3 linked regions of the Tribolium castaneum genome follow. The protein of the gene in region 2 interacts with the protein of the main gene of each other region in a biochemical or structural test. Links are inferred from orthologs where the notes say so. Each region holds a gene or a part of one and is shown on either strand. Other genes may lie near its edges. The genes, in order: fu, ci and Su(fu).

Region 1 (4,180 bases), on a different chromosome or scaffold from region 2:
TTAGCAAATTAGATTCAACAACGACATTGACACTTCCACAGTGTCCTTCCAACTAACTAGGCGTTGCCCGTACGCGCCTCACGCGTCATCATTTCCCGCCAATTTCAACAGCAGCGCCCCCTTCACTTAACAGACAGAAGGAAAAAAATGGTGAGACAAGCAGTCAAACGATACGAAAATAGAAGAAAACTGAAAAAATAATAACTTCATTGCGAACAAAAATTCTACAAATAATTAAACATAAAAATAATTTTAAATATGTTGGGGGAATACTCAGATTGTAACTGGTTTCCTGATTTCAAATTGTGTTAGATTTCTGGTGTCACCACAACTCAGTCCTGCGTAATTCACAAACATTATTTTTCAATTTTTGTAAATTTAAGGATAATTTGATTCACTACTAGAATAGCCGACAAGGAGCAATTTACTTTGATTTTTTATTTATATAAAAAAATTAACTGCATCTTGTCTCTGCTATCCCATTTAATTTATTAAATCATACTTAAATAAAAATAACAACAGACGTTGAACAGTGAATACAATTTTTTGTAAATGTGATTGTTGGTATAAAAAGCATTTTTCTAAAATCACCAAACAAAATTTTTGCACAGTTTTCATCAAATTAACACGAAAATCACAAGATTTGGTGTTGGTTGCCTAACATTTATACACTATATTGAAAATCTTTGTTTAAAAAACGAAAAGAACTTAGTAAAATATAAGGAAAAATTGTCTCTCTTTATTTGGTGTTTCAAACAAAAATTTTTAGATCGTCTGATCAACTGATTACAACAATTTAATTTAGCAACAAGATCATTAATAGATAATAGGCAAAAATAATAAGGAAAAAACAGTACAAGGAAATAAAAATTGTTTTACGAAATTACTTGAAAGAGAAAATAAGAAAATAAAGAATAACCAATAAAGACAAAAAATCTAAATTTTAAATAAAAAAATAAAAAATTGGAAAAGATGGCCTCAAAAAACATTATTGAAAATGTAAAAAAAGGATGATTAAGAAAAAACTATATAGAATAGAATAAAACTGTATAGAACTATACAGGATGCTCAAAAACTGGCGCACCAACTCAGTGGTACGCTGTTGAGAAGCATGTGTAGATCACGGAAAAAATCTTGAAAAAATTCCTAATGTCATATTTTAAAAAATATGGAGCTACAAACTTATTTTGTAAACTTCTTCAGTTTTCATTATTTTTTAATAGTTTTATGTTTCACACTAAGTAATCGTTCCCTAACACAACAATGAATAATTATTTTTAAATTTCCTATCAGACTTTAGCAGATTTTTTAATTAAAAAAAATAAAATTCGTCAAAAAAATCACAATTTGTAGATGTGTCAACATTGGGAATTATTACTTAGGAAACCGTTTCAAAAATAATTTATTTTTATTGTTGATTAAGTTCTATTGCGATCATCACTGTTAGACAACGTTGCCACATATCATCTAATTAAATATAATTAATATTTATAATTATATATATTTTTTATAATATATATATATATTTATAATATATATATATATATATATTATATATAATATAATTAATATAATTATTTATCAATAATTTTAATACAAAGAATTTTTTTACTAATTTTACCGTTATATGTAAGCAATTCTCTACCATATTCCAATAAGTTGGTGCGTCGGTTTTTGAGCACTCGGTAGAATAGAAAAAAAAGAACAGAATAAACCACAAACGACAAACTACAAAAGACGAAGCCATAAACTGAAGACAATATAATATGAAAGAAATATAGCAAAAGGTAAAAAAAAACAAAAAGTAAAGCAATGGTAATATGAAAAAGAAATGCTAAAGCAACGAATAGAATAATGTCGCAGGAGAAATAAACCCACAAAATTAAAAAAAAACAAAATAAAAAAATGCAAAAAAGGCATAAAAGAAAACACACAAAATTAAACGAAGATAGAAAGAAAAAATTATGAGACAAGCAGTTAAACGATACGAAAATAAAAGAAAACTGAAAAAATAATAAAAAATAACATGAAAAAATGTAATTTCATTGCGAACACAAATTCTACAAATAATTAAACATAAAAATAATTTAACATATGTTGGAGGAATACTGTTAGATTTCTGGTGTCACCACAACTTTTTACAATTTTTGTAAATTTAAGTATGATTTAAATCATTACTGGGATAGCAGACTAATTTACATTGGTTTTTTATTTATTAAAAAAAAAATAAACTCCATCTTGTCTCTACTATCCCATTTAATTTGTTAAATCATACTTAAATAAAAATAACAACAGACGTTGAACAGTGAATCAAAATTTTTGTAAATGTGATTGTTTGTATAAAAAGCATTTTTCTAAAATCACTAAACAAAATGTTTATACAGTTTTCACCAAATTAACACGAAAATCACCAGATTTGGTGTTGGTTGCCTAACATTTGTACGGTACATTGAAAATCTGTTTAAAAAACGAAAAGAACTTGGGAAAAATTGTCTCACCTCATTTGGAGTTTCAAACGAATCAAGCATTTGTATAATATTGGGATGATGCAAATGTCTTTGAATTTCACATTCCCTTCGTAGACCAATTATTTCCTTGTTCGATCTTCGACCCTAAATGAAATAAATTTGAACGAGTTCGAGCCTCAGTTTTTAACTCACTTTACAGATAACTTTTAAGGCAACAAAAGATGAATCTGCGATTACTTTCGCTTTGTAAACTCGTCCAAACGATCCTTCGCCCAATAATTTAATAACTTCATACTTGTCCATATCATTTTTTACACTTGGAGAGGATTGTTTTTGTTTACTTACACTTCCGCGTGACATTTTTTTGACAATCAGATGTTTGTCACGCTGACAGGCAGGGACACCAACCCTCGTGAAAGTAACTGACTGGGTGGAAAGCAATTTTTTGCAAAGAAATACCAATTTTGTTGATAAAAATGATTTTGTGATTAGCAGTGTTTAATAAAATCAACGTTATTGTGAAATTAACCAACTGCGAGGTTTTGTAACACTTATTTTATGTCCCCACTTTTAGGGAATTTGATTTTCGTATGTTGCCTAGAAATTTAAGGTTTTGTTTCAACGTTTTCTTATTTTTTTTCTTAAAAATGACCACAAAAATAAGCCCTAGGGAAGTATTAGCGTATTTAAATGACTTGGGTTATCACAACATTAACCCACAACAATTGAAAGAATTTGTTTACGGTTGGTGAGTCATTTTTTGTTACTTTAATTGAACAAAAGTTTGGTTTTCAGACTTGAAAAAATTGATAAAGTATGAAGAACGCAAGAGAAGCAAACAAAGCCTTGGAAATGAAACAGATGTGCCGAACGAAAACGAAAAAAATAAAGATGATGTGTTTCTAGTTTTACATTCACAAGGGACTCACTCTTCAAGAGCCAAAACAGTTTCAAAGAAAGAAAGTGTAATTTCGTTAAAAATCAAGACAAGTAAAGGACCACAACACCATTGTCACGAAAACACGTTGGAGGCACAAACAGCCCCTGAAAAGGGTCAAGAAGACACGCTTGACTTTGTGCCCGTTAAAGATGTGCCTTGGAAAAAAATGATTAATTCTAGCAAACCTAAAAGTTCCTGTAAGTATTTTAAAGTGTTTGTAAGTTTTTTTACGTTTAAGCTTGTAGTCATAAGACCGGGAATTCAAACAAATATTAATAAGAGTGACCCTGTCGCACTCTACCACCAATATCAAAAGTGTTGGAAGCGACAAAAAATTCCAGGTGAAGACAACAGAACCGACTTGAGGTGGGCTATTAGAGAAAAAATGATGAGTGGACCTAGAGTGACAAGAGCTTGATTTTTATGTGTATTTTTACGTTAAAACGACCAGTTTTATAATAAATTGTTACAATCATGTCGTGTTAAATGAAAATGACTTCGTGCAGAAAATCTAACCTCTAAATAAATGTAAACAAAACGATGGCGGTAATATTACAAAAAAAACTTTCAAGATTTATAAAATCGACTTTGACGACATTTGCTTCTCCTGTTTATCTAGAAATTGTCCCGCAACTGTTTTTATGATAAATTTCGAGGGGGCTGCCTTGTCTTCCATACTCAAGGATATAATCAAGTGAGTCAAAAGTTGTGTAACTACTGAGGTCATTACGATACGCGATTTGCGTATCGTAATATCTAATGGAGTATAATA
Region 2 (4,150 bases):
TACCTCATATACTTGTAAATAGAAAAAATTACATTGTTTGATTCATTTCTCATGTAGGTATACCTCGGTTCTTTTTTATCGCTTTGATGGCAACGTCACAAAGACGTTTTATGAGGTGAAATTGGTCACAAACATTTGATTTACGTTGGAAAGAAGAATGTTATAATTGGATTCTACTAACAAATTTAGAGCAAATGATGAGCTCCACTGTTTCATAAACAAAAAGAATTATAAAACTCGATTCAATGACCATAGAAATCTACACATTTGTGAAAAAAATCCTTGGACAATCGAATTTGTTCTTGTTTCCGTTCATCATACCTATGATTCTTTGATTTCATATCTAAGAGATGAGGGTCCAAGGTTTGACATTATCAACATTTTTTTAAATGAGATACATAATCCTCTTTTTGAAGCCATAAATGAAAAGTTCGCATTTTTTACGCTTTTGTAGTAATTTACTGGAGACAATGGGAACAAAAGGGGTAGGTTTTATAGGTAGACGTTTCAGTATGTTATTTTTTTCAAATTTTAAGTAAATTTGCGAATTTTTTTTGAACAATTACAAATGGAAAGGATGTTTTATTTGATGAGTTCTGTTACTTGTTAAAATTAATACATGTATTTCTGATACACTCTGTATTTATAAAAAGCATAAGCGTGTATGCTCCGGTTTTAGGCAAAAAATGTCCACGTGTCCAATTCTTTTCATACAATTTTTGCACTATTTACACTATTTACACTATACAAATTTGATTACAGGTATAGTTTGCCGTATTTGTGCCTACACTTTGTTAACTTAACGAATTGTTAAAACACATGAGTATATAAAAACTACCTACATGATATTACATTTCATTCAGAATCCACTTAGCACAATTGTGTATTTGATGTTTGTTTTTCTTTTCAGCTAAAATATGTTACATGTTTATTTACAGACTGTTACAAAACGTAAAGTAGCACATTTTTACTTTTATTAACTACACACTACTACTATGTTTTCCTTATTTCATTTCTCGTACAGCAAAAACTTTCATTATCTCAGAAATGAAAAGCGATATAACTATGAAATCGTAGCGAGTGAGAAGCCTAGAAAATGGAAGGTTTATTGATATAAATGGAGGCTCCTAATTCGCTGCTACGCCACTGAGTAAATAAGAGAGTACAGAATGTGAGTCCATTCCCTCGCAGTCGGTCTGGGTTGGCCCCTCCCCGGGCTCCCTTCTTCCACACTCGTTAGTTGAGTTGTAAGGCCTGCCTGTCAACTACTCGCCTGCCTCTACTCTAGTTAGTTGTCCGTAGTCTATAGGCTGGTTGTGTTGTACTATACCTATTAGCAAATAAAGCATGTGCCTTACGCATCACCAGCAAGTGCCTCCGCGACGATGCCTCTCCTATTATTAGCCGCTCCGAATTGCCCTAAGTGCCTGGATTAAGTGTCTAGACTGGATAATACCCGCACCGATTCAAGCCCAATTACCGCCCCATAAAAATAAATTCAAATCGCGATGCTCCGGCGCGGAAAACCGCGAACTCGTGTGCCGCAGCCTTTAATTGAGACATATCCAATTAGCTAAGAAATTGCTAGATGACAGCGCTGATGACCGGTAGCGCGTTTTTGTGACAATCAGTTGTGACACAATTTAGTGATGTGACTAGTGCGATATGCCCGAAAAGGAGGCGGATTTTCAAGCCGCTATGTCTGCTGGTCTACCGTTACAGTTCCCGTCGGCTTTTGCGGCTTTCCACGCGCCTCTTCCCGTTGACCAACGCACGCACGAAGGACGATACGTCTGGGACCCCAGGATGCAGCCGCCAGGAGCGCCCTTCCACCATCCCACGCCGCCAGGGTGAGTCCAGCACGCTGACAGTGCTGCTCAACACTTGCGGAACGGCAATTGAGCAAAAACCTATATCTATATCAAGTCATATACACTGAACTCTTTTCTAAATCGTACTGAAGAAGAAGCAAACTTGTTGCTTTTAATTTTTGCATTCCATAACATTTAAAAAAGTTTGTTACGTATAGAGGTCATCTTCACTTAACAATTTGAGTTAAATTTTTATCACCGAAACGTAAAGATAAACTCATTATTAATGGCTGGGAACGTGAAACCAACTCGACAACGGGAAGTGGTCGTCCGAAAATAATGTATAACTGTTCTGGTCATTGTCGGAGATGACGCTATTGGTTTTTAACGGCATTTGACTACGTTTTTATCTCAAAAACTGGTCAACATAAATTTGAATAAAAACAAAGAAACATAAAGAGCGAATTGATTTAAAAAGCAATTCTAGAGAGAAGAGGATTCTCTAGGTATCACTGTTACTACAACTGTAATAAAAAAGATATTTTTGACTCGGTCCACTTTTATTACCCTCATGATGTTCCAAGCGTTTTAAACAGTGAGACAAGCTAAAAGGTAACTACTTGTTAGCAGCAGTGCTACTTTTCTCTAAGTAGCAACTTCCAAATGGTGCTTAATTATTGAAGAAAGGAAGATTTGAAAGAATAGAAGATTTTGATTAAAATTATATTCATATTCAAATTCGCAAAAGGTGAATTTTTTGAGTAGCCAGTTTCATTCTCTTATTTGTAAAAAAAATATATTTGTTAACATAAAGGCAGGTTCACACCTAGAAAGTAGTAAGTAGAGATCATACTTAAGCATAGATATTTTTAAAAAAAACAGGCTATTCCGTCTAAACCCCACATTAGAAGTTCTAATAATGATACTCATCTAAAAATTTACACACAACCTTAATCCGTTAGGTCCTGATCAATGAAAATATTTTGAACATGGCAGCACTTCCGGTTATACCGGAAGTCGTTATCAACTTTTTTATTTTCAATCGGAAGCTGTACTTATCTATCAGCTTTCCCTATACCTAAATTTACTTGTTTTCGAAATATTTAGGGTTTTTTGAAAATTTTTGGATTTGCTTCTTTGACTTTAAAACTTTATAACTCTGCCGGTTTTAAAAATTGGAAAACTTTTTTGGCTTTGAAAGAGAAGGTATAATAAATGTTTTCTTGGGTGTTTTCTTTTTAAAAAAAGTTAGCAGTAAATTTTTAAGATTAAATTTGCAGAACGTTTTAAACACCTATAACTTAAAATTTTCAAATGAAATCCCACAATTTTTATTTAACTAAATGGTAAACTTTTCTTCCATATTTTGAACATACTGAAGGAACGTACTTTTCTTCTTTGATTATCCAAATACGATTTATAAAACTCAAAAAACGTCAGTGTTATCGATTTTTGAAGTCAAAGATGCAAATCTGAAAATTTTCAAAAATAACTCGTAAATATCTCGAAAACGGATTAATTTAGGTGTAGGGAAGCGGATGAAAAACCTCTTGAAGTAACTCGAGTTATTTAAGAACGCAGTAAAAAACATATCTTTCTATTATGCTATTAAAAATTACTTCTTGGTGTCCTTTCCTTTTTATAAAATCATGGTTCGAGTTGGTGGTGCCTATTTTGGTTGTGAATTTTTCGTTACAATGATGCGTCTGTCCATCAGACAATTTGTTGAGCTGATACAAAAAGTGTCGAATCACGTTCGATGTTGGCTCTTTTGGTTTACGGTTGGATCCTATTTCTTTGTCTATAGACACGTAAATTTGTCATTGTCGGTAATCATCCAGGAAAGGATAATTTATGATTATTGACTTGGAAGTTTGAACTTGCATTGAGAGTGGAGAAAAATTTGACAGTGTTCCAGTTATTATTTAAATTTTTTGAGTGTGATGAAACAAGCCGGTAGTGTTTACGTTGACGCAACAAAGTTTTACGAGTTGCTCCCTCATCCATTAAAGACTTTAAAGCAAGACGTAAATAAACATCTTCTAATGTGGATTTTCTGCAATTTGTAGGATTTATTTAGGGATTTTAGACCGGAACATCCGAAATAACAAACATTTTAACGACATCGTTAAGGTATAGACCCACCGAAAGCCATTCAATCCGTCCCTAACAATCTCTTTTCTCCGAATCGACAGCACGTAACATTGACGCATTGCCTGAAATCCTTAGGATTTCAACAAACTCATGATCTCTTTTGTGCTCACAATCGGACAGGTCTTAAATTTGGGATGATGGTCAGGCTTTATTCATGTCCGACGGACTTTACCTCCGGTAGTCGT
Region 3 (4,114 bases), on a different chromosome or scaffold from region 2:
CTAATGAATTAATTACATCAATTTAAAAAAAATGTTTTAAAAAATGGCTTAGTTGATCACACAAACAAAATTGGTAGCAAAATTATTATGTAGAACGAAGTCTTAAAAATTGTATTAAGATTTAATCTTAAGTACAAATAGACACTGTTTTATAAAAAGAATTGGCTTATCTAATAATTTAAGGTATTTCCGTTAATTTAATTGATAGAGATTTAATGCAAACACAAATACAGCATGTAATTCGTGACTTAGGCAAATTTTATTAATATGTCTCAAAGTTTACACTTTTGAGTAACATTTTTTTATTGCGTCTTCACTTTTATTTTGGCCAATTTTATTTGTTGTGTTAATCAGTCACAGTATGTTTAAAATTCCAAAGTAGAGAGTTTGTATAAAAAAATGTTATACACTAATAAAAACAAAAGTTGGAAAGTATTCTTCCGGCTTTTAAATTAATCTAAATAATAACTACAAAGTGTTCCAAGACATACAAATACTTTTAAATTAAGTCACTCAGAAAATGTACATTTTTTATGTACATTATATTACATAATGTCCTGTTGTACAAGAGTTTATAATCACTGACAATAAGTATTCGTTGAGCAGTATATAACCCTGAGAAAAAAATTGAATAGGGATTATTTACTTACCCACAGCTTCTTTCAATAGTGTTACACACTTCACATGCCCCGCTTTTTCAGCCAGATCGAGAGCACTCATTCCATTCGCATCCAGAATTTGAATATCTGAATCATGCTGCAGTAAAATTGAGACATTACTGTTATGCCCATGTTCGGCACTTAAATGCAAAGGAATCTAAAACGAGAGCAATTATTTTCCTACAACTGCTAAAATTAATTAAAAACAAACCTTCTGGTCGCCTCTTGGGCCGCACCGAATGTTAGGATCGGCCCCTGCATTTAGTAAAATTGTCAAACACCCTGAATTATCATTAATAGCAGCTGCATGTAGGGGGGTTCTCCCCCAACTGTCCTGCGAGTTCAGGAAGGCCTGTTGGCCCCCTTCTAGCAAGTCCATGAGTAAATGTGTGTTGTCCCATAACGCGGCCTTAAAACAACAATCAAATTTTGCAAATTAACTAGTTAAAGGAACGAACCTGGTGTAGGAGCCGGCCTGGAAAATCTTCGTCTTCAGGCGAAGAATCCAACATTGTGGCGATCGATAACGCTCCCAACACCTACATTACACAAACGCGGAAACTAACACAATTTCGTGCAAAAACCGCGAAGCGTTTCAACGATAATAATTTCGCAACGATTGAGAAATACAAAAATGTCCTTATTTTGACTGCTGGATTAGAGGTTAGTTTAATTGTCGCAACGACAAGCAACCTAACAACGCCAAAAGCCACCCCTTGCACCCACTTTTCGAACGGGCTCTAGGGAAATTTCTGTTTGGTGAGTTACCGAGCCAGGTTACTCTTGTTTTGTTTGGCGGGTTGCCTAAAAGTTGTTCCTGCATTCTTGAAATATTTTCTTTTATTGGTCTGGACGGAAGTGTAAAATGTTCTAAAGTGGTAACAAACGGCTAAATATAATACTTTCTGCCGATTTCTAGTAAGTAGAGGTGTTGGTTTGTAAAGTTTTAAAGTTGGGGGGGCCCAATAGAACAATGAATGAAGCTGCTGCTCTGCCCCATGGACCCCCAATGAACATTCTGCCACCGACACCAGCAGGTTTGGAGTCTTTGTACACGCTATGTAGGAAAATTTACCCCGATCAAGCCAACCCCCTTCAAGTCACGGCCCTCATCAAGTACTGGCAAGTGATTTTTGCAATAAAATTACATAATTCGTTTAATTTAACGTACATGTAATTATTTTGGCAATTGCCGGGCTTATAATTGTGCGAAATTTCCATTAAATTAAAATTTGACTCAGGTTCTATTTATAGTCACTTCCTGTTTTTTCTGTCTGCTTCCCTTGTATGTAAACAGGGGAGCTGACCTATTTTATTTTTAAACGAGGGGATACTTTTTTATAGGCTGGGAGGGCCCGATCCTTTAGATTACATATCAATGTATGCAAATCCAGGCATTCCACAAGAAAACATTCCTCCACATTGGCACTACATAAGGTAGCAATCTTTTAAGTGAAATATTTAATAAACGAAAATTTTAGTTTTGGTCTCTCAGACCTTCACGGTGACGGGCGAGTGCACGACGTGTCAGGAGCTAATGGTGTTTCAGGTTTTGGTTTTGAGCTAACATTTAGGCTAAAACGGGAGCCTGAAGAGACGGCACCGCCCACCTGGCCCGCAACTTTAATGCAATCTTTAGCGAAATACGTTTTTCAGTCAGGCAACACTCTTTGTGCTGGTGACCACGTTTCCTGGCACTGCGCGTTAGATAGCAGCGAGTCACGAATACAGCACATGTTGATGACCACAGACGTGCATTTGAAGTCAATACAGACGCCTTTTGGTTCTGTCGATTTCGTCCAAATTGTTGGTATTTGCGCCGAGGAGCTGAAAGCAGCCCAGCAGTGGAACGGGGCCGGGGTGCTTGATATGATAACTAGAATACCGTCGTAAATCGCACCACCAATCACGTTTTCGTAAAACTTAAGTCTGGGTTTTAGTGCTGGGGGGCCTTGGTTTATCACGGATATGAGGCGAGGGGAGAGCATTTTTGAGCTTGATTTAAACGCGCACGAGGAAGTCGAGCGAGGGTTTGAGTTAGAGGGCTCCAATTTGAGCGGAGTCAGCGCTAGGTGTTCATGGGTTGAGCAAGACCCTGCTCGTATTGACATAATGCATTTGAAAGAAAAGTCCGATTGTGACAATTTCCAAGCTCAAGAGGACGTAACTCTGTTAAATTCACCTCAAAAACCGCTACAGAGTGGCAACTTTGAACAAAACCGCTCCAGTAGCACCAATTTCAAAATGGACGAGTCAACTGAGTTGTTGCACATAAAGAAATTAGAGGGCGTCCATTTGGTTTTTAATTTGGAGGCTGGGAGTTTACTCCCTTTGGCCATCAGGTGAGGGAATTTTACGTGTTGGTGTTGTTTCTATTTTTTATTTTTGAAAAGGGGGCGCGTACGACATGGTAGACATTTCACATTTAAGTCAGTTTTGGGTGAAACTGCCATAACACTAGTGGCAGGTACGGTTACAGGGACGTTGGTGAACTCAGAACACCCTTATGTAGCTCAGGGTTCATGGCTACAAATACTTATTACCGACGATTTAGCTCAGGATATGGCGGTTACTTTTCAAGTTCTGGCCACTCCAGAGGCGCTTTCTTTACCAAAAACATTCTCATGGCCCGACAAAAAGTTATCTGTGACTATTGTAGCGGACAAGTTATAGTATTTACAGTTATCTCATTAATCATAATAAGACTAAAATAGGTTTAATTTAGCCTTAGTCTCACGAAATAATCAAAAGCAATATGTAGGCATATTTCTTATCTTAGGTTTACTCAATTAATTTATTACATTATTTATTATTACCTAACTTAAATAGAACAACCCCCCATATGCTATACATATCGGATTTAAAGTACAAAAAGTAACCCATATTATGTACCATAGACCTGTAAACTGTCCCACTTGATTCTAAACGAATAAAGATGCTTTCTTTTGAATTAGGTTTTTTATTTTTATACCATGCTTTCTAATTTTTTTATCGAAATGGCCTGTGAAATTAAGTCGTTTGATTTACTTCATACGCGCTATCAGTCGTGACGTCACCTCCCCACTCTTATTACGGTAGGTCAGTTGCTCAAAGCTAAACAACCAGTCTTTTACATGTGGTGTAATACGTTTTTCGGTTTTTTGGTTGTGTTTGTGCGTTAATAACGTGTCAAATAGCTGCAGCGGGTGTAATTTGTGCCACTAGAGACTTTAATTTAATTTAGAAGTGACTTTTTGTGAAAATACGAACTTTATAAAAGAATACAGGGAACCACGTTGTCGGTGAGAAAGTGAGTAAGCTTTAATTATACTTTGAGAAACTATTATATTTATGCATTTTAGTGGCAGAAAAGCACATTGTTAAGTTTCACTTTATTGCGAAATTTTTTGGGGACGGTAATCGCTTTTTAGTTCGGGGAGAAAATGCTTTTACCAGCGGTCACGTCACCAAATTTA

The links.
Region 1: the proteins of ci (region 2) and fu form a complex in vitro, tested with the Drosophila melanogaster proteins (2 studies listed by BioGRID, with this or other methods). The link is inferred for Tribolium castaneum from reciprocal best matches to the Drosophila melanogaster genes ci and fu.
Region 3: the proteins of ci (region 2) and Su(fu) form a complex in vitro, tested with the Drosophila melanogaster proteins (2 studies listed by BioGRID). The link is inferred for Tribolium castaneum from reciprocal best matches to the Drosophila melanogaster genes ci and Su(fu).

Annotation. Positions count from the first base shown.
Region 1 is NC_087395.1:1,160,862-1,165,041, forward strand, and holds the start of fu (serine/threonine-protein kinase fused), read right to left. Parts: upstream 2,829-4,180; coding exon 2,661-2,828; intron 2,613-2,660; coding exon 2,499-2,612; intron 1-2,498. Other genes in the region: centriolar and ciliogenesis-associated protein HYLS1, read left to right, coding at 3,059-3,212, 3,264-3,605, 3,654-3,826. UniProt on the Drosophila melanogaster protein: Probable serine/threonine-protein kinase; maternally required for correct patterning in the posterior part of each embryonic metamere. May be involved in control of cell division during metamorphosis and ovarian development. May interact with costal-2.
Region 2 is NC_087394.1:31,429,297-31,433,446, forward strand, and holds the start of ci (transcriptional activator cubitus interruptus), read left to right. Parts: upstream 1-1,217; 5' UTR 1,218-1,665; coding exon 1,666-1,850; intron 1,851-4,150. UniProt on the Drosophila melanogaster protein: Has a dual function as a transcriptional activator and a repressor of the hedgehog (Hh) pathway. The full-length ci form (ciFL), acts as an activator (ciA) while ciR, its C-terminally truncated form, acts as a repressor. Involved in segment polarity.
Region 3 is NC_087397.1:4,508,420-4,512,533, forward strand, and holds Su(fu) (suppressor of fused homolog), read left to right. Parts: upstream 1-1,386; 5' UTR 1,387-1,632; coding exon 1,633-1,781; intron 1,782-2,003; coding exon 2,004-2,096; intron 2,097-2,140; coding exon 2,141-2,548; intron 2,549-2,599; coding exon 2,600-3,001; intron 3,002-3,052; coding exon 3,053-3,332; 3' UTR 3,333-3,609; downstream 3,610-4,114. Other genes in the region: Lrrk (leucine-rich repeat serine/threonine-protein kinase 1), read right to left, coding at 651-816, 871-1,068, 1,118-1,171; uncharacterized protein LOC107399185, read left to right, coding at 3,948-3,948, 4,001-4,114.